3 linked regions of the Arabidopsis thaliana genome follow. The protein of the gene in region 3 purifies or fractionates together with the protein of the main gene of each other region. This does not show direct contact. Each region holds a gene or a part of one and is shown on either strand. Other genes may lie near its edges.

Region 1 (3,395 bases), 9.3 Mb from region 3:
AAGCATCATAAAATCATCAAATGACAATCTTCTGTCTATGTCGCTTCAGCAAGAAGAATCTAATGTTGGCTTGCCTGGAGGAAACGGCCAGCTTTTAACTCTCGGGGTGGGTCTGTTGGTTACTGCATTGGCTGGAACATATGTGACAAGCCTTGCAAAGGTAAACTCATACTTGTTTACTTCTTTTCTTTCTCTGTTCTGCGTTATATTTGCCTCCCACTTCTGATATCAAACCAACTGGTTCAAAGCTTCGTAGCATATAAGCTCAGAAAAGTCCCACATTTGGTTGAAACTTAAAAGATGTAAAGTGAAATGAATCTGTCTCATGTATATCTTTTACTTGCCGTGTGTTGCAGGATGCTATAAAGGATATTGATGATGATGAGAAGAGAGATGCAAAGTAGGAAACAAGCCAGCGATTGGATAATGGTTTTGACTCTCTAGGATTTGTAAAACGCCAACAGAGTATCATGTATCAACGTTAAATGTATTGCTCCATTATTGTTAATAGTTGATATATAATTCGAATCTTTTTTGTCCTTCAAATTTAAGCACCAATAATAAGTGAGAAAATGCTTTCTAGACAAAAAAAAGGAAAATGAGCCTCAGAAAATCAAATGTACTCGATAAAGTGAGCCTCAGCACACATTACAGCCAAATTCCCACCAAGAACGTAATTGATGATAAACAAAAAAAGTTTGAGATTTTATTTGGCAAAAGAATATAGCAAAGTAAAAAAGCCTCATCTGAGAGAGACTTAACAACTCAGAATCAATCCACCATCAGATTCACTTAGGCGCAGTAGATTCCTTCAAGTAGGCGATGAGATCAGCACGGTCTTGCGGCTTCTTTAGCCCAGGGAACACCATCTTGGTACCTGGTATGTACTGCATCATATAAAAAGGCCATCAATCTCAATGTTAACAACAACAACTCATGAAACAATCATGACATGATTATACAAACCTTCTTGGGGTTGAGCAAGTAATCGTACAAGGCCTTCTCTTCCCATTCCACAGCTTTGTTCTTGTTAGCAGCAGAGTAAGAGTAACCAGCAGTTGTACCAGATTGTCTTCCAAATAGACCGTTTAGATTGGGTCCTATATTAAAACAACAAGGTCAAGTGTTGAGCAACAATGTGACGCAAATCACATTCTACAAAAGCTACGAAAACAATAGAAACCATTGAGCAACAGTGTTTTCTAATTTCACGCAATTTCAAGAAAAAATGAGAATCTGTGACGCAACTAGCTCAAATCATTGTTGTATCATTACTTAGAATTCGAGAATCAAGTTCCACAAAAATGCGAAAAGTTGTATATAAAAACCTCAGAAATTCGTCACATGCATTGAGCTGAAGATTTAAGGATAAACACGAGTAAGACATCGAGGTTATTGGATCAGATCTATGATCTAATCGAAGAATCCGTTAACCAGATCACATCAGAGATTTTTGATTAACATGAACAAATCGATTATAAAGCGATGTAAAACAAAGGCCCGATAAAAATTCAGATAAATTGCGAAAATCAACCATAGAAATAGAATTCAAGAGTGAGAGAGATCGATGAGTGAAAACCTTGTTTGTGACCGGCGCCTGCTTCGACGGTGTGACACTGAGCACACTTGGTCCTGAAGATCTTCTCACCGGCCTTGGCGTTTCCTGGTGGTGCTTCATCAAACGACGCCATTTTTTTCGCTTGAGCTACGCGATCAGGAACAACAAGAGAAAATGATTACGGAACTCTCGTTTCTCTGGAGCTTGCCGAAGTTTCCTTAGGGTTTCACTGTGGAAAAAGTGACCTCTCTTAAAAAAGCAGTATCTCCAATCTTAATGGGCCCTTAATGGGTTTAGGTGGGCTCATATTTATTTCATATATAATGCTGTTTATGCTTGTTACTCATACTTGCGAAGGACCATCCCCTAGTTCATGTAAACTTATGTTTACAGGAAATCATGCAATTAAAACTTGTTGTATATAAGATTTATGTACAAATTGATTCTCCAGTTTGATAAAATATTTCTATCAGAATTTGATTCTTTATCCTACTTCTACAAGACGTTCTTCATCTGAACTTTGCTCCTGATTGATGACAGAATCATCGTTCATCGGCTTATTATTCTCTCCATCTAACTCCGAATCTGTTTCCATCAAAGCAAACTCATGAGCCTTTTGCACGCCCAAGTCACTCAGTAAAGTCTTCACCGTTACAAGCTTGCTCCAAGAACCAGTTACTGCATACATATCTGCAAGCAACATATAGTGACCTAAGTGTTCTGGCTTTGTTTCTAGTAGTAACTTATCTGCAGCCCACTCCCCAATGTTTGTGTTCCCGTGGATGAGGCACGCTTTCAGTAGAGTAGCACACATAGCACTTGATGGCTCGTAAGGTATTGTATGGAATATATCTCTGGCTTTATCCAGGTAACCTGCTCTGCAATAAAGATCAACCATACAAGAATAGTGTTCAAGGCGAAGGCGTATACCAAACACATGCTCCATCTTCGTAAACAACCAGTGTCCTTCACGCACTAAATTGGAATGGCTGCAAGCTGATAAAACTGCAACCATAGTTACATGATCAGGTTTGATACCGGATCTGTCCATATCCTTGAACCATGCCAATGCGACTTCTCCTTTACCCAGCCTGCCATATCCATCGATCAAAGAAGTGTATGTCACTTTGTCCCTCTTCCTCATCGAATCAAATACTCGCTTTGCAGCTATGATTTCACCGGATTTTGCATACATATCGACAAGGGAGTTCCACAGGATTAAACAGTCCTTGTAGCTTTGGCGTCTCAGGATGTAGCAGTGAAACTCTTTCCCATGTTGCAGGTTTCCCACCCGAGCAAAAAGAGGGAGAATGCTAGCAAGCGTAATGTGATTTGGGTGAAATCCAGAGAGCAACATCTCCTTGAGCAGGAAAGAGGTTTCTTCTGATCTCTCGTTGTATGCAAAACCGGAAATGATAGAATTCCATGTACTCAAACTATTTGCTTCAACCTGCTGAAACACTATAAACGCGTGCCTAAGATCACTGCATCTTGAGTACATTGTGATCAACGAATTCCGAACATTGTCAATATCATGGGAAAAACTACAACTACGGATCACAAGGCAATGAAATACTTTCCCCCACTTTAACGCTCCAATGTGTGAGCATGCCTTTAAACCATTAATCATAGCTACAGAACCTATTCTTACATTGCAATTTCTCATCCCAACAACACAATTCAAAGCCCCTATGTAATTTCCTGCCTCCAAACAACCTCCAGCTATTGTGTTCCAAGTTACAATACTCGCTTCGACACCAGAGAGATACATTCTATCAAGAAGCTTAAAAGCTTCCCCTAACTTTTCTTCTGAAGTATAACAGTTGATTATTGCATT
Region 2 (5,560 bases), on a different chromosome or scaffold from region 3:
CGTCTTTCTTTACCCTATAGGCTTGGTCCACGTGTCTTCTCCAAAGACGAAACCACTACACACTGTGGTGAATCTTGTAAGGCTTCTGCTGTTGTAACTGCATTTTGTCGTCCGGTCATTTATCATTCAACAATAACCACGGATCTTCAAATCATGTTGAGGCCGCTGACAAAAGTTTATATGTTATTTCATTTTCAAATCTTTTATATCCCACTTGTGCTTGTGGATGAACCTATCTGCATACTCTATATACTCTTTTCTTCTTCTCATCTAAAACAAATTACATTGCATATTACAAATCTTGATGTGTAGCAAAATATACCATGGCTATCTTTGACTTGACTTGAGTTATGTGATGAAACGTTTTGAGTAGGTGTGAACATTTGAAGAACCAGTTATAACAATTTTAGTTTAAGTAAGTACTCGATATTGAATATGATGGTTGTGGAATGAAGATATGAGTTGTTTTTTTCATAGACAATGACATTTACTGAGAAATTCACAAAAATAGTGTATATATTTTGATAAAAAAGTCAAATGCTATTCTGATTGCGAATCACAAGTCTACATTGTTATCAGAATGCATTGAAGTTTATAAACAACAAACACATGGCAAGTGGGTGGAGTTCACATTATCTAAGCAGAATTTACTTGCCTTTGTTCGATTTTAACTCAAAAGTTTGATTTTTATTCTTTTACATATCTCAGCAAAGTTGTGGAGAAATGACTGATCATGCATGAAGTTGTAAGTAACCAAATCGTGCTCAACTCGCAATATCTCTCAGATATACAGTTACTGCTGCGTTCATTTAGAGTCTAAGCGCTGTACGTCTACAAGCTGGTAAAGATCTCCCCGCCGCTGCCTATTCAATGGAAGGCTAGTCCTAAGATGGTAAAAAAAACGAGATTCAGTTAGCGGATCACGCTATCAAAAACCAAGAAAGTTCTGGTGTTTCCGTGATTACCTTCGTTGTTCAAGGATAGAGTAATCAATCTCTGCTATGATAATGGCCTCCTCATGCTCAGTCGTTGCTAGTACTTCTCCAAACTGTCAAATAATATATATGTTTCAAAGTTTAGTGATCAGCTAAAAGCTTCATTATCAATCAAGTAACACAGAAAAAGTTTAGTGCTTACAGGCCCAACGAGTGTTGAGTGCCCCCAAGCAGTGTAGCCAGCTCCTGAATCTCTGGCAGGTGAGCATGTCGCCACATATAACTGGAGAAAGTAGCATACATAGTTCTATTAACCGGTCCATGACTTTGATAACAGTCAATTAAGTAAAACTAACCCCAAAGAGCAGAAGATAATACTTGTATTGATAACTCAAAGAAAAATGCAGGTTTGCTATGAATTCATTAAGAAATGTCAGAACTTGTATCTCTCTTTTGGCTATCAATACAAGTATTTAACTTGGTTCATGTACCTGATTATCCGTAGCCCTGAAATGGAACAAAACAGATCGATGAGCATTGTGATTTACCCATGATTAAATAAGCCAAGAAAGTCGTAATGTAGTAGACTGTGAATCATACCTGGCCCTTTGTAGTAATTCCCAATGCAATGGTCCAGTTGTCATGTTAAAGGCTCCCGGGTAGCACAGCAAATGAGCCCCTGATATGATTAAAGTAAACATGTGGGTGATGAGGTTCTTTAAAACGTAATGGACCCGAAAAAGAGAGGAAGCAGATAGTCCATTTGGATAAAGCATTATGATATGAAGACTCACCTCTTGCAGCATATATCATAGCTAACTCCTGGAACCTGATATCATAACAGATGCCTATTCCAATACGCCCTACATCTGCAACAACCAACAAAACTATCATTCTCAAGCGCTGCACCGCGTTAAAGATTTCTCATAAGTACTAGAAAGTGAGAGGTGATGTGAACGGTCCTACTATGACTTGATTGTTCAATAAAGACATTTCCCCAGTCAAAATAGTTGGCAAGATCTTAAAAACATTATTATTCATAAACACTAGGCCAGCATGAAAATGAATCATTTCACTGTTGAGCTAAGAAGATCCCAAATCTGACTGGAAATTTAAATCCTTAATCCTAAATTATTATTTTTAGATAGTACCACAATGAGTTTATGTAAGATACATGATTGTTTATGCATGACCTGGAATTATATTTGGCAAACCAAGATTATAACCTGTGTCAACGATTGTTGGTGTCTCTCCAGCAGTAAGAGTTTTGGATTCCATAAAAGTAATCTTCCCGGGAATGTCTATATCAAATAAATGTATCTGTATGCACACACAAGTACAAACACAAATAAGTGCAAGCAATCAAAAACAAGATGTTCTGAGAATTGATAATATAAGCATAAAACGGTCAAGGCCATCTCGCCTCATAATTTGTCCTTATGAATCATAGAGGAAGAACTCGAACCAGAACATAACTACCACATCATTCTAATTACTGATTCTAAGTCTATTAGATCCTAAAAACAGATGATAAAAGATGAACAACGATTTTAGAAGTAAGATTAGCATCTTTCATTCTATGGCCTAAAGCAGAGGAAAGTTCATTATTTCTTCTATGAAAGTTTAATCTCAAAAAATCTAACCTTCCGATGCTTAGCTTTTAGCTCTCCATCGGAACCAAAGACACAGCAAGTGTTATACAAACGATCTCCAACTCTTTCTGGTATAGATCCACCAATGATTGTAATCTTGAGACGTTTGGAAACTTCAGAAAGCATTGCCGTTGAAGGAGAAGCATCACCACCTGCATCAATCTCCTCCGCATAAACTGGAAAACTATCATTGGAATACGGACTGTTCCAAATTTCCTGAAACAAACCCATTGAATGGTTTTAAACCCCATAGAGACGATACCACTAGCTCATACTTTTTGTAAATTTTACACATTTGAGCAACAGAACATTAGAATTGAACTCACAAAGAGCTATGAGCTAAGATACAAAGAAGAAAAACTCACGGGTAAGAGAACAAGCTTAGCTCCTTTAGAAGCAGCTTCTTCAATGGCTTTTTTAGCATGAGAGATGTTTCTCTTTTTGTCAGATGTAACAGATAGCTGACACAATCCGATGTTGAACTACAAAATTACCCATGGAACGAAGAAATCAATCAAAAGCTGAAATGATTGAAAACCCAAAGGTAAATGAAAAGAAAGGAGCTAACTTTGGTCAACGGAGGAGCTGGGAGAGGAAGAGCAGAGGGAACTCTAGCTTGTTCAGGGTTGAAAGAAGAAGCCATGGAAGAGGAAATGGATCTTAAAGCTGAGGTTGACGAAGATGGGAGCTTCAAGGTGTGACTAGTGATCGATCTCGGAGATAATTTAGGGAGGAAGTTAGATTTGAGAGAAATGAAGCGAGAAAGAGGATTAGGGTTTAAAAGATTCTTCGAATTGAAGAAGAGTGACGATGAAATTGCTGACTTCATTTCACTTTAGTCCGATGATCATATAGGTAGGTAGATGATATTGATACTTCACCTCACAAAAGCCATGACTCATGAATCCTCTGCGTTTGCGTTTCAACCGTATTGACGCGGTTCAATCAATTTTATACACTAAATTCGAATGAAATCGTACCAAACCGGATAAATTTAACATCCTTACTAAATCCAAAACAGAATACATATGGGCCTGAAAACGAATTGGTCTTGGGCCTGACCGAATCAATCGCTTTTCTCTACATTCGTCTAGAAATATCCATCTACACTTCTCCAACGATCAAGACGTTTCTCGAACGTTAGAGAAGCGCTTTTAAGTTCTATAACACCGAAACAATCGCTCTCTCTACATTGCTCTAGAACTATCCAACTCAACTTCTATTTAATACTTTCTTACATCAAAATCAAAATCAATCAAACCAAAGAAAAAGCCAAGAAGCAAGAAAGTTAACACAACAGCTAAGAATGGATTTGGAGTTTGGAAGGTTTCCAATATTTTCAATCCTCGAAGACATGCTTGAAGCCCCTGAAGAACAAACCGAGAAGACTCGTAACAACCCTTCAAGAGCTTACATGCGAGACGCAAAGGCAATGGCTGCTACACCAGCTGACGTTATCGAGCACCCGGATGCGTACGTTTTCGCCGTGGACATGCCTGGAATCAAAGGAGATGAGATTCAGGTCCAGATAGAGAACGAGAACGTGCTTGTGGTGAGTGGCAAAAGACAGAGGGACAACAAGGAGAATGAAGGTGTGAAGTTTGTGAGGATGGAGAGGAGGATGGGGAAGTTTATGAGGAAGTTTCAGTTACCTGATAATGCAGATTTGGAGAAGATCTCTGCGGCTTGTAATGACGGTGTGTTGAAAGTGACTATTCCGAAACTTCCTCCTCCTGAGCCAAAGAAACCAAAGACTATACAAGTTCAAGTCGCTTGAGTTTGTTTGTGATCGTGTTTTTGTGTTTTAATGAATGTAATCGATAAGCAACTACCTCTTGGTGTTCGTTGTAAAATGAAATAAAAATAGTTTTCTCTGTTCATATTTGTCTTTGTGTTCAATCTTCAAATCAATGAAGTTTTTGCTCTCTTGAACCATCCATGCTTATGAGGCAAAAATAGGACCACAACAAAAAAGACACCGAATGGTCATTCCTCTGTTTTTGCAGAAATTATTACTGTTCATCCTTTCCTAATATCATTGGTGCTATTTAGCACATTGGCCATCAAATCCACATTTGCATTTCACCCTTATCTCTGCAGTCAGCAAAATATATTTTTGGAGTTATGTCCCTTGAAGTAATTTATGGGTATGAGATCAGTAACACAGTGTTATTATATCTGCAAAAACTCTTACATATTCAATTTTATCCTTTAAGTATTAGATGAAAGGAAACAATTTTGTTATTCTGATTTTAAAATCCAAACAACTCTTTGTACTTTTTTCATGTTGGATAACGTAACTGAATCTTCAGCTACTACATCTGTAGTATAATACGAAGTCTGATATCTCAATCTGCTACATTATTTTTTAAATGAAATTTGCATTTGCGAATGCAAATAACATCAACTGAGTTTTAAGACAAATCAAGTTTTGTGCAGATTTGTAACCGTCTTTAATAGCTTATATTAATGTCGTTATACACGATTTAGTGGTATTCAGTGAGTTAGTGCTACCACATATATAGTATTTTTCTTTGGTCACTAAAATAAATATGGTCTTTCATTAATTTTTCTGACCAGAAACCAGAGCATATACTAATTTAGTCTTGTTTCCATCATTAAGACTTTGAACTTCTGATCTTGAGGTGCATGTTGTACACTTGTAATCCAAGTCTTCAGCAATTGTATGTACTTTCCAGTTGAATGTATTCTTTAAAATGAGCAATATTGTTCGGATTCCTTAAATCACAAAATTTGTTCTTTAATTTGCTAAAACACTAATCTTATGAATCATGAACTATTTTCACATATGGAATGGGCCTTGATATATTCCTAATTTAAAAGCCCATATAGATATTAAAAATTCTGTAAAGTTATGGCTCATATTTTATCAAACCTGAGTTACAGAGTTCACAAAAACCAGAACGACCAAGACGTTTCTCGAACAATACGGAAGAACTTCTAAAGACCGCG
Region 3 (8,477 bases):
GTCGGTATGCCACTAAACCCAACTCCATTCCATGGACCGGATTGGTACAATAGAAACTCTTTCTTGTAAAGATAAAACTCATGTAGCCTTGAGTTCCGAGTTTGAACGAGAAGCCTCCGCTTAAGGGAGTCTCCAAAAACTGAGGAAAGTCTCGTATCCTGTTTTGAGATCCCGACCAATCTTCATCTCTGGGAGTAATGTGTCCACCGGATAATCAAAGCTTTGCCACAAGAATCGGTTTTGATAGTTGATTTTGGAGTCTCGAAGCACGAAGTTGCCGTTATCGAGCAGCTCTGCCACCACTGGAGATTTTACCGTTCTCGTCAGATTCTTTGACCAAACAGGAGTACGAGAATGATCTTAGCGTAAGAGATCTTTAATGTTCCAATGGATTTGGAAAGAGGATTGTCTCTGTTGGCAACCCATCCATAAGTTCTCTCAGAGATTGACTTGTACCAAATCCCAAGATACCAACCATATCCATTTCGAGAGCTTGCTGTGGTTTTGAAGAAACCTAGCTAGAAGACGTTACCGGGAGACACAATAGTTCGGTTGCTTGAGATTGTCAGAGTTTCTGTACATGACAAAGTATTGATAGGGAGAAACAATTGATTGTCGCCCCCAAAATTTTGGGAATTTTTTCTTTACAAAAAAGCCCCCAATTTTTTTTTTCCCTTTTAGAAATTTTTTAGGCCCCCCAAATTTTAGGGCTGACAGTGAGTATTGTTCGAGAACACATAAAGAAACAGAGCTAATAAGACATCGACGAAGAAGAAGAAAGTGTAAGAACGGTAATAGTTTGGTGTTACGCCTCTCATCTTCACGATTTTCTTTCTTTTTTTGGTAGGCGTACGACTCTCTTTCTTATGCTTTTCTTTGTTTCTTAAAACCTATATTTATAGATTTCTTCACATGTTTTTTTTCTTTTGAATTTAATATTAAATTATATTCAAGAAAAAATAAACATGTTTACATCAAAGTGCATACTGTTTTTAATTTAAATCATGATAGGAAGAACTCATAGATTAAAACTGTTGTCATGATTGAAACCAAAATTGTATGCCTCCTGCGTACTTTGAGTCCCCTCCACTCTGAATGGTGCTTAGCCTGCTGCGAATGTTTTTGTCGATCATTTTTACAAGTCTCATAATTGTTGAGTGATCTTCACTGTGTTTCCTGTTATTTCGCTCTCTCCAAATAGAGTGAATGGCATTCTGAAAAATGTACCGAAGGATGAGACACTTTGTTTTGCCAAGATCATTTCCTTGTATCAACTTGAGGATGTCTCTCCAGCTAGCTGTGAAGTCGGTGGTGAGAATCCCCTTTGCTAGTTCCCGCCACACCTGAAAAGAAAAGGGACATAAGAAGAACAGATGTTCCCAAGTCTCCATAGGATCTTGGCAAAAGATGCAACTTGAATCAGCTTGTCTATTCCACTTGAGCATCCGAGCTCCGGTTGTTACTCTGTTTTTTGCGACTAACCAAGTGATGAAGGAGTATTTTGGAGTCAAGTAGGGGAACCAGATTCCTTTGTAATCCTCCATCAATGGCCTAGTGTTACGTATCTGCATCCACGTTTCTTTCGAATTAAAAACGTTTCGGTGATGGTCATTTCTCCCTTTCCATAGCCCGATATCAGTCTCATCATTTTGTTGTGCAGGTTTCTGGCTTTTGATAGCGTTTTCAACCGTATTTAAGAGGTCCTGCCTATGTTTCTTTCTTCGATTCATGGACATTACCTCCCCCACAGTTGCAGTAACTCAGATTCCCAAGTCAATACATCCTCTTATCCCAAGTTTTTCATATAGACAGCCTATATTACTCCATTCATCAAACCAAAATGAGGTCGTTTCTCCATTTTTGACCTCTACTCTATAGAACTGTTGTGCTATCCCTCTATATTCCATATCCAAGAACCGCAAGTTGTAGTGTCTTTTACTGCCGAGAAGGAGCCTTTTCTTATGAAATATTTCTTTACCCATTCAACCCACAAAGATCCTTTAGCCGACAGTATACGCCATATCAACTTTAATACACTTACTTTGTTTGCTTCTTCAATCGACCGCAGCCCTAGTCCACCTTCATTCTTTGGTGTGCAGACCTCAGTCCATGCCACTTTTACCTTTCAAGGGTTCATCGATGGTCTTGACCACAGAGAACTTGAACACAGTTTATCTATTTCTTGAAAGCATGCTTTGGGCAGCCGGAAAGCAGCTATCCAAAAATTTGTAAGACTGAAGATCAACAAAAATTTCTTCACATGTTGATTTTCAAATTTGGAAAACTCTATACAATTGTTTCTAGCAGACAAGATAAATGTAAATTTTCCACGTTCTATGACTTTTCAGTACCTCATTGATTCACTTCAACAGACTACTGTCATCATTAGTCGATAACGTCACCATGTGAAATTAATTTGCTCGTGCAACATAACATATGTTGTTCAACAAGTATATTTATTCATCCATGATCCTCGTCCCAAGAAAGTCATGCTATGGCACTTGTAAATGCATCCAACGTTACGTTCGATGTATTTTAATCTCCTCGATCATGGCCGTGCTATCTTTTTTTATTATTTGTTTTGGCCATGCAAAAATATTGCTACTTCATTTTTGTAATTTTATCACATATATAAATGTTTGAACTATGAAATTCTATTAATTTATAAAAGTATTAATTTATCGATAAATTAATAATTATTAATTTGTAGAGATTTTAGACTAATTTTGTAATTTAAAAAAAAATATTATGTCTGAATTTTTTCTTCTTCTTTATAATCATTATATTTTTAACTTTACGATGGTAACGTTAAACCTCAAATAATAATAAATTATTAACTTTAGAAAATAAAAAAAAGAACGTTTTCGATGTAGTAAAAAGATATTAAATAAACTTTACCAAGAATTAATATAAATAAAAATAAAAATATTAGCAAATTCATATTTCACTATTTTTCTTCCGTATAACATATATATATTTAAAAAAACTTTTACAATTATTAATTTATGATATTAATGAGACCATATATTTACATAAAATTTTCAAAAATTTATTATTTAATTAATATATCGATTTGTGTTATTTTTTACATTGATCTTAACTCTTATACGATAATCTGAAAACAATTTAGGCTCTTATTGGTAACACACATAATGCAGAAAATTTGCCAATAAAAAAAATCTGCATAATTGTATTAGAAAACGCAAAAACGTAAGATTTGTATTTTTGTTTTAAGTAAAAATTCATTATGCCAAAAAGTGTGTATATAATTATTTATTTGCATAATATAATCTTATTATTCTATGCATACAAATATTAGCAATTGTAAAAAAAAAAGTATCATAGTTTACACAAAATTATATCATTAGTAATACAAAAAAACATTTTCATAACTTTTTAATAAATTTTAATTATCTTACATTTTTAGTATCGAAAATTACTCAAATATACTAATTTGTTTTAAACATTATTTTTTATTAAGTTTATATATATATATATATATCTACATATATATTGTTAATATAATATTTTTTTTTTAACAACTTCAACTTTATTAAATTGTATAAGGTTGATACAAATAAGAAAGTAAGAAACGAGGAGGGACAATAAAGAACTGATACAGAGTAGTAGTAGACAGAACGTATTGAGCCATCTTATCTGCAGCACTATTTCGTTCACGATTGACATGGAGTAGAGATACGTTGGATAGTTTGGCCATCCAATGACGAATATCGTAAAGAAGAGCCCCTATCAGAGAATGATCATCACCATTATTGATAGTTGCTATAAGTTCTTGGTTGTCTCCATCAAAACAAACATTTTTTATTCCACAAGCCCAAACTACTTGAAGGACATGTAACAACCCGGTAGCTTCCGCCTGTAAAGGTGAATTAGTCGATGGTAGTTTTCAACAGCCTGTAATTAAAACCTTTCCTTCATCGTCCCTTATCAACCATCCCGTATTTGTAAAGGATCGTCCCAGCATAAAGCCACTGTCAAAATTACACTTCACCCATCCTCTTGGTGGTGGTCGCCATTGAGAACCTCTGTCATGAACCGTATTCTTGTTTGTTTGACTACCTCTTGTGCCTTCAGTATAACTGTTTGCTTCCAGCCATTCATTTGCCTCGTGTCGTCCTATGTGTTCTTCGGTTTGTGGCAGTCTCATGATCTTCTTGAAATATTTATTTGTCATTTTGCAAAATATATCCAATTAATATATTTTAAAATTAGTTTCATTCGACGATTTTTTAGTTTGCAAATTTTCATTCTGCGAAATTTTTATTCTACAATTTATGTCATTATGCTATTATGCAATTTTAGCAATCGGAACCTTAAGGAAAAAAACCGACAAGCGAACCGTTCTGTATGTATTTCGGTTATTTTCAGCCAGCCCTATTTATTTGGTTAAGCTTAGATTAAAAAGTTTCGGTTTGGTTCAATTTGATATGGTTTGGAGGTCAACAACAAAATCAACGAACTGAATAAAGCGATCGCGTTGGTTCTCTTCTTCAAAACAAGCTCTCTCTGTCCCTCTCTGTCTCTCTCTTTGGGTAATCGGAAAAATCAGAAAAATGGGAACCCTAGGACGAGCGATTCACACTGTGGGTAATCGGATTCGTGGAACTGCCCAAGCCCAAGCTCGCGTTGGTTCTCTTCTTCAAGGAAGCCACCACATCGAGAAACATCGTAAGCTTCCACTTGCTTCGCTCTATTGAACCCTAGATCCAATTCTGTATCTCTCATTTGTATCAATAATTTCCTTTTGATTCGAGAAATTTGTAGTTTAGATTGAAAACTTTGATTTGAGAAATTTGTGGTTTGTTTTCAGTGTCGAGGCATCGGACGTTGATTACTGTGGCTCCGAACGCTTCTGTGATTGGTGATGTTCAGATCAATAAAGGCTCGTTCATTTCGTATGCAAGTGTTTCTCGTGGTGAGCCTCCTGATTTCTTTACGAATGCATTTTGTAGATACATTGATTAGGTGTTTTGAGAGGTCTATTTGTGCGTGCACTTCGTATTTGACTGTAAAAATACGCAGATTTGCAGTATCCTCGTGCAATGGGAATGGGACAGGTCCGGAGATTTAGCGAAGATGTTTCTCACATGCCTGAAATGGAAGACTCTGATGTTCTGAATGCATTCAAAGACTTGATGGCTGCAGATTGGGCTGAGCTTCCTTCTGCTGTTGTTAAAGATGCTAAAACCGCGATATCGAAAAACACAGATGACAAGGCAGGGCAAGAGGCTTTGAAAAATGTGTTCCGAGCAGCTGAAGCTGTAGAGGAATTTGGTGGGATTCTCACTTCGATTAAGATGGAAATCGATGATAGCATTGGAATGAGTGGGGAGGTTTGTTTGTTTGTTTCCTTCACTAAACCATTTTCTTGATTTCTGGTTGTTTGATGTTTTAGTTGTATTGTGTGCAGGGTGTGAAGCCTTTACCAAATGATATAACCGATGCGCTGCGTACTGCTTATCAGAGGTATGCTGAGTATCTAGACTCCTTTGAACCTGAAGAAGTCTACTTGAAGAAGAAGGTTGAGATGGAGTTGGGGACTAAGATGATCCACTTGAAGATGAGATGCAGCGGGCTTGGTTCTGAATGGGGAAAGGTAATCAAATCTGATCTATACTCTCAAAACACGTACTCTGTTGATTTGCATCTTTGACAGCATCATATAAGCTAGAATAAGCCTGATTAAAGTATGAGTTTGCATAATTATTTACGATTTCAACTTGTCCTCCAAAGTCTCACTCGTACTATATGTGATCTTTTTTTCTCAACCTTATGCATCTTTTAGGCTAGCTATCCGAATGAAATCATATAGAATTTGGCAGAAACTAGTGTTTTCATTTAGACGAAACCACTGAACCAGTAGTTGTCTTGCTAACGCTTTGTTTTAATATTTTTGTAGGTTACTGTTCTTGGAACCTCAGGACTCTCGGGATCTTACGTGGAGCAAAGGGCCTAAAACAAAAAGAGAAGATCTAGAATTACGTGCGAAGCTTGTTATGTTGTTATTGCGTTATTTTGTCTTAGCACATAATAAAGGTCAATCTGACCAAAAGACATATCAGGTGAGTCTGTTCATTGTTTCCTCCAAATGAAGCTTTAAAATTTAGAGCTTAACACCAATTGAAAAATAAACTCACATGAATTTGTGTTCATTTGTTACTGTTTCCTTTTATGAGAGATCTTTTGTTTATAATGATTCAATATTTTGAGCTACCTTTTTGTCAAACAAAAGGAACTGGAGTAACTCTTGTAGGCTTCCTCCAAGACCATGACTCTGCAGGTGACTTTGGAAGCGGTGGAAGCAACGCAGCTTTTCGTCCCAATCCAAATGGCCATCCTTGGCAATGACAGAACTCTTGAATCACTGATCCTTTCTTAATTTCATTAACGTAATGCATCTTCCATTGATTCTCCAGCTCTAAACCTTTCAAGCTTGAACTCCTTGAGAACTCAGTTTTCGCTGTCATGTATCCTTCTATGCTGATATCACTCATGCAACATTCCGAAAAACTGCTTCTTACCGAACAGAATTCGTTTTCGATGTCATATTCTTTTACGAATTTGTAAGTTAGCCCCTCCATTCCTGTCCTTCGCTTCTTCCTTAGTTTTTCCATCGCCCGACTTCTGATCTCGAAAACAACAACCTGAAATCAACAATCACAAAACGAAAGGTTGTGTAATTCGTGTAATTCGTGTTGTCGAAGAATAGTTATAGAAGAAAGCAAAAATGAAAAACAAAGGCAAATGAATGAGTTTTCTAGTTACTTCATGGTCGTAGTCAAAATCCCCGATAGGCTTGTTATCATCATCGGCTTCGTGATCAGAAAGTGTAACTTTTCTGCCTTTGCATCTGTAACAATAAGTGATAGCATCTCTCACCCCTGTGGCAACGTCGTCACCGCAAAATACCATTCTCAGCTGCAAATTTTATTTCTAAACTCAATGATTTGTAATAGAATACAAATGAGTGAAAGGTTGAAATCTCTAGATAATTTCTGAGTTTAGGATTTATAGACAAAACTGAGCTGCACAATGACAGTTTATCTAACATCACTTGTGTTCTTTTCAATGCACGCAACACCACTTTCGTTTTCATACCTTTCTACTGTTTATTATCTGATGAACAATTAAAGAAATATTACGACCATTGACCAAGATTAGATTCTGAAAGTACAAAATCATCCTAATTAGGCTTCCGGATATTAAGACAAATCAGGGTTAAGTAAATAGAAAACAACTTTACGAATTCATCTCAAAAAAGTTCTAAGTTGATTATGTTGAAAAAATATCATATCTTACTTGAAGCAAAATACATGAAAGTGATAGAGAAACTATAAGACATGGCACCAAACTAACGTTATCATGACACGCAAAGATAGTATAGATCTTCTTTTCTGTTTTACATTTTGTAATTTTTCTTACTCACCAATAAAATACGTGTAAAACAAAGAAATCGACCTTATCTTAACCTTCTTCAACATTTTGATATTGTGGTTATATTCAATAATTAAAAGAAACATACCTTCAGGATCTTTGTTTGTAATCTATATTCCTTCAAGAATTAGGACATTTTTACATCCTCGAGAAGCTAACTGTACTTTAGCAAAATATATAACAGAAGCTTAGTGTATGTTTATCAATGGTTTTTCTTCTGAAATGTCTTTGGATTCTGTATAGATCTATTGTTTTTCTTTTGACATCATATATATCTTATTTTTAGGAAAGCTCTAAATCTATGACCACCATTATTTCATTCACATGCTCCCACAAAGTCATAATTACACCAAGAACCCAACTCCTTTTTGGCCGTGCCTTACTTTTATCCCAAAATTTGATTTATTTGCTTTAATTTCCACATTATTAAATTTACAACGACCATCTATATATAATCATACCATTGCCTTCTCGATTTGTAATTGACTGGGCCATTTCTTTTAGTAATTTGGTGTTGTTGAATCAAAACATACCATATTGCTGTTACAATATTTCTCTATCATAGGCCCAAGCTAATTGAGTAAATCTTATTGTATAAAACTTGATTCATCTAATTAAACTACGTGAATATTATTAGTACGTCTTTTCATACTTTTTTGACTTTTGAGTTTATTACAATCCTGAATTTAGATCATTATAGTAAGTTATACTATATATATACTTAGTGTACAATATAACATTCCAATCTATGTTAATGTTAGATAGATATTTTGAATTTTGATTTATCTTCAATTATTGTGATGGTTAGAAGATGAACTCTAAAATTTACATATATAGAAAAAAAATTGCATAACTCTTATCACTGCAGTAAAAAGATTTTTTTTTATTTTTTTTTGGCAAAGTAAAAAGAATTATTTATGTTCATCACTCGCATATAACTAATGAAAAGATATTGTAAAGAGAAGATTTTAAAGAATTTTGGCACAACAAAAAAACTGATAATCAATACGTGTGAAACCTAA

Evidence for each region. The genes of interacting proteins can lie anywhere in the genome.
Region 1: the proteins of SDH5 (region 3) and CYTC-1 purify together in Arabidopsis thaliana (affinity purification with mass spectrometry, with the first as the bait; one large-scale study listed by BioGRID). This does not show direct contact.
Region 2: the proteins of SDH5 (region 3) and AT5G12040 purify together in Arabidopsis thaliana (affinity purification with mass spectrometry, with the first as the bait; one large-scale study listed by BioGRID). This does not show direct contact.

Annotation. Positions count from the first base shown.
Region 1 is NC_003070.9:8,077,680-8,081,074, reverse strand, and holds CYTC-1 (CYTOCHROME C-1), read right to left. Parts: upstream 1,789-3,395; 5' UTR 1,692-1,788; coding exon 1,580-1,691; intron 1,564-1,579; exon of another isoform or gene 1,101-1,563; coding exon 967-1,100; coding exon of another isoform or gene 963-966; intron 888-962; coding exon 789-887; 3' UTR 501-788; downstream 1-500. Other genes in the region: AT1G22850 (SNARE associated Golgi protein family), read left to right, coding at 50-160, 357-404; AT1G22830 (Tetratricopeptide repeat (TPR)-like superfamily protein), read right to left, coding at 2,043-3,395. UniProt on the Arabidopsis thaliana protein: Electron carrier protein. The oxidized form of the cytochrome c heme group can accept an electron from the heme group of the cytochrome c1 subunit of cytochrome reductase.
Region 2 is NC_003076.8:3,883,018-3,888,577, reverse strand, and holds AT5G12040 (Nitrilase/cyanide hydratase and apolipoprotein N-acyltransferase family protein), read right to left. Parts: upstream 3,630-5,560; 5' UTR 3,417-3,629; coding exon 3,156-3,416; intron 3,070-3,155; coding exon 2,953-3,069; intron 2,804-2,952; coding exon 2,579-2,803; intron 2,256-2,578; coding exon 2,162-2,255; intron 1,805-2,161; coding exon 1,730-1,804; intron 1,615-1,729; coding exon 1,536-1,614; intron 1,443-1,535; coding exon 1,427-1,442; coding exon of another isoform or gene 1,409-1,426; exon of another isoform or gene 1,219-1,408; coding exon 1,138-1,218; intron 1,049-1,137; coding exon 966-1,048; intron 885-965; coding exon 806-884; 3' UTR 501-805; downstream 1-500. Other genes in the region: HSP17.6A (heat shock protein 17.6A), read left to right, coding at 3,894-4,364. UniProt on the Arabidopsis thaliana protein: Omega-amidase involved in the metabolism of asparagine. Probably also closely coupled with glutamine transamination in the methionine salvage cycle.
Region 3 is NC_003070.9:17,393,274-17,401,750, reverse strand, and holds SDH5 (succinate dehydrogenase 5), read left to right. Parts: upstream 1-4,487; 5' UTR 4,488-4,574; coding exon 4,575-4,689; intron 4,690-4,831; coding exon 4,832-4,936; intron 4,937-5,043; coding exon 5,044-5,354; intron 5,355-5,431; coding exon 5,432-5,617; intron 5,618-5,920; coding exon 5,921-5,977; 3' UTR 5,978-6,233; downstream 6,234-8,477. Other genes in the region: AT1G47410 (uncharacterized protein), read right to left, coding at 6,243-6,665, 6,787-6,933.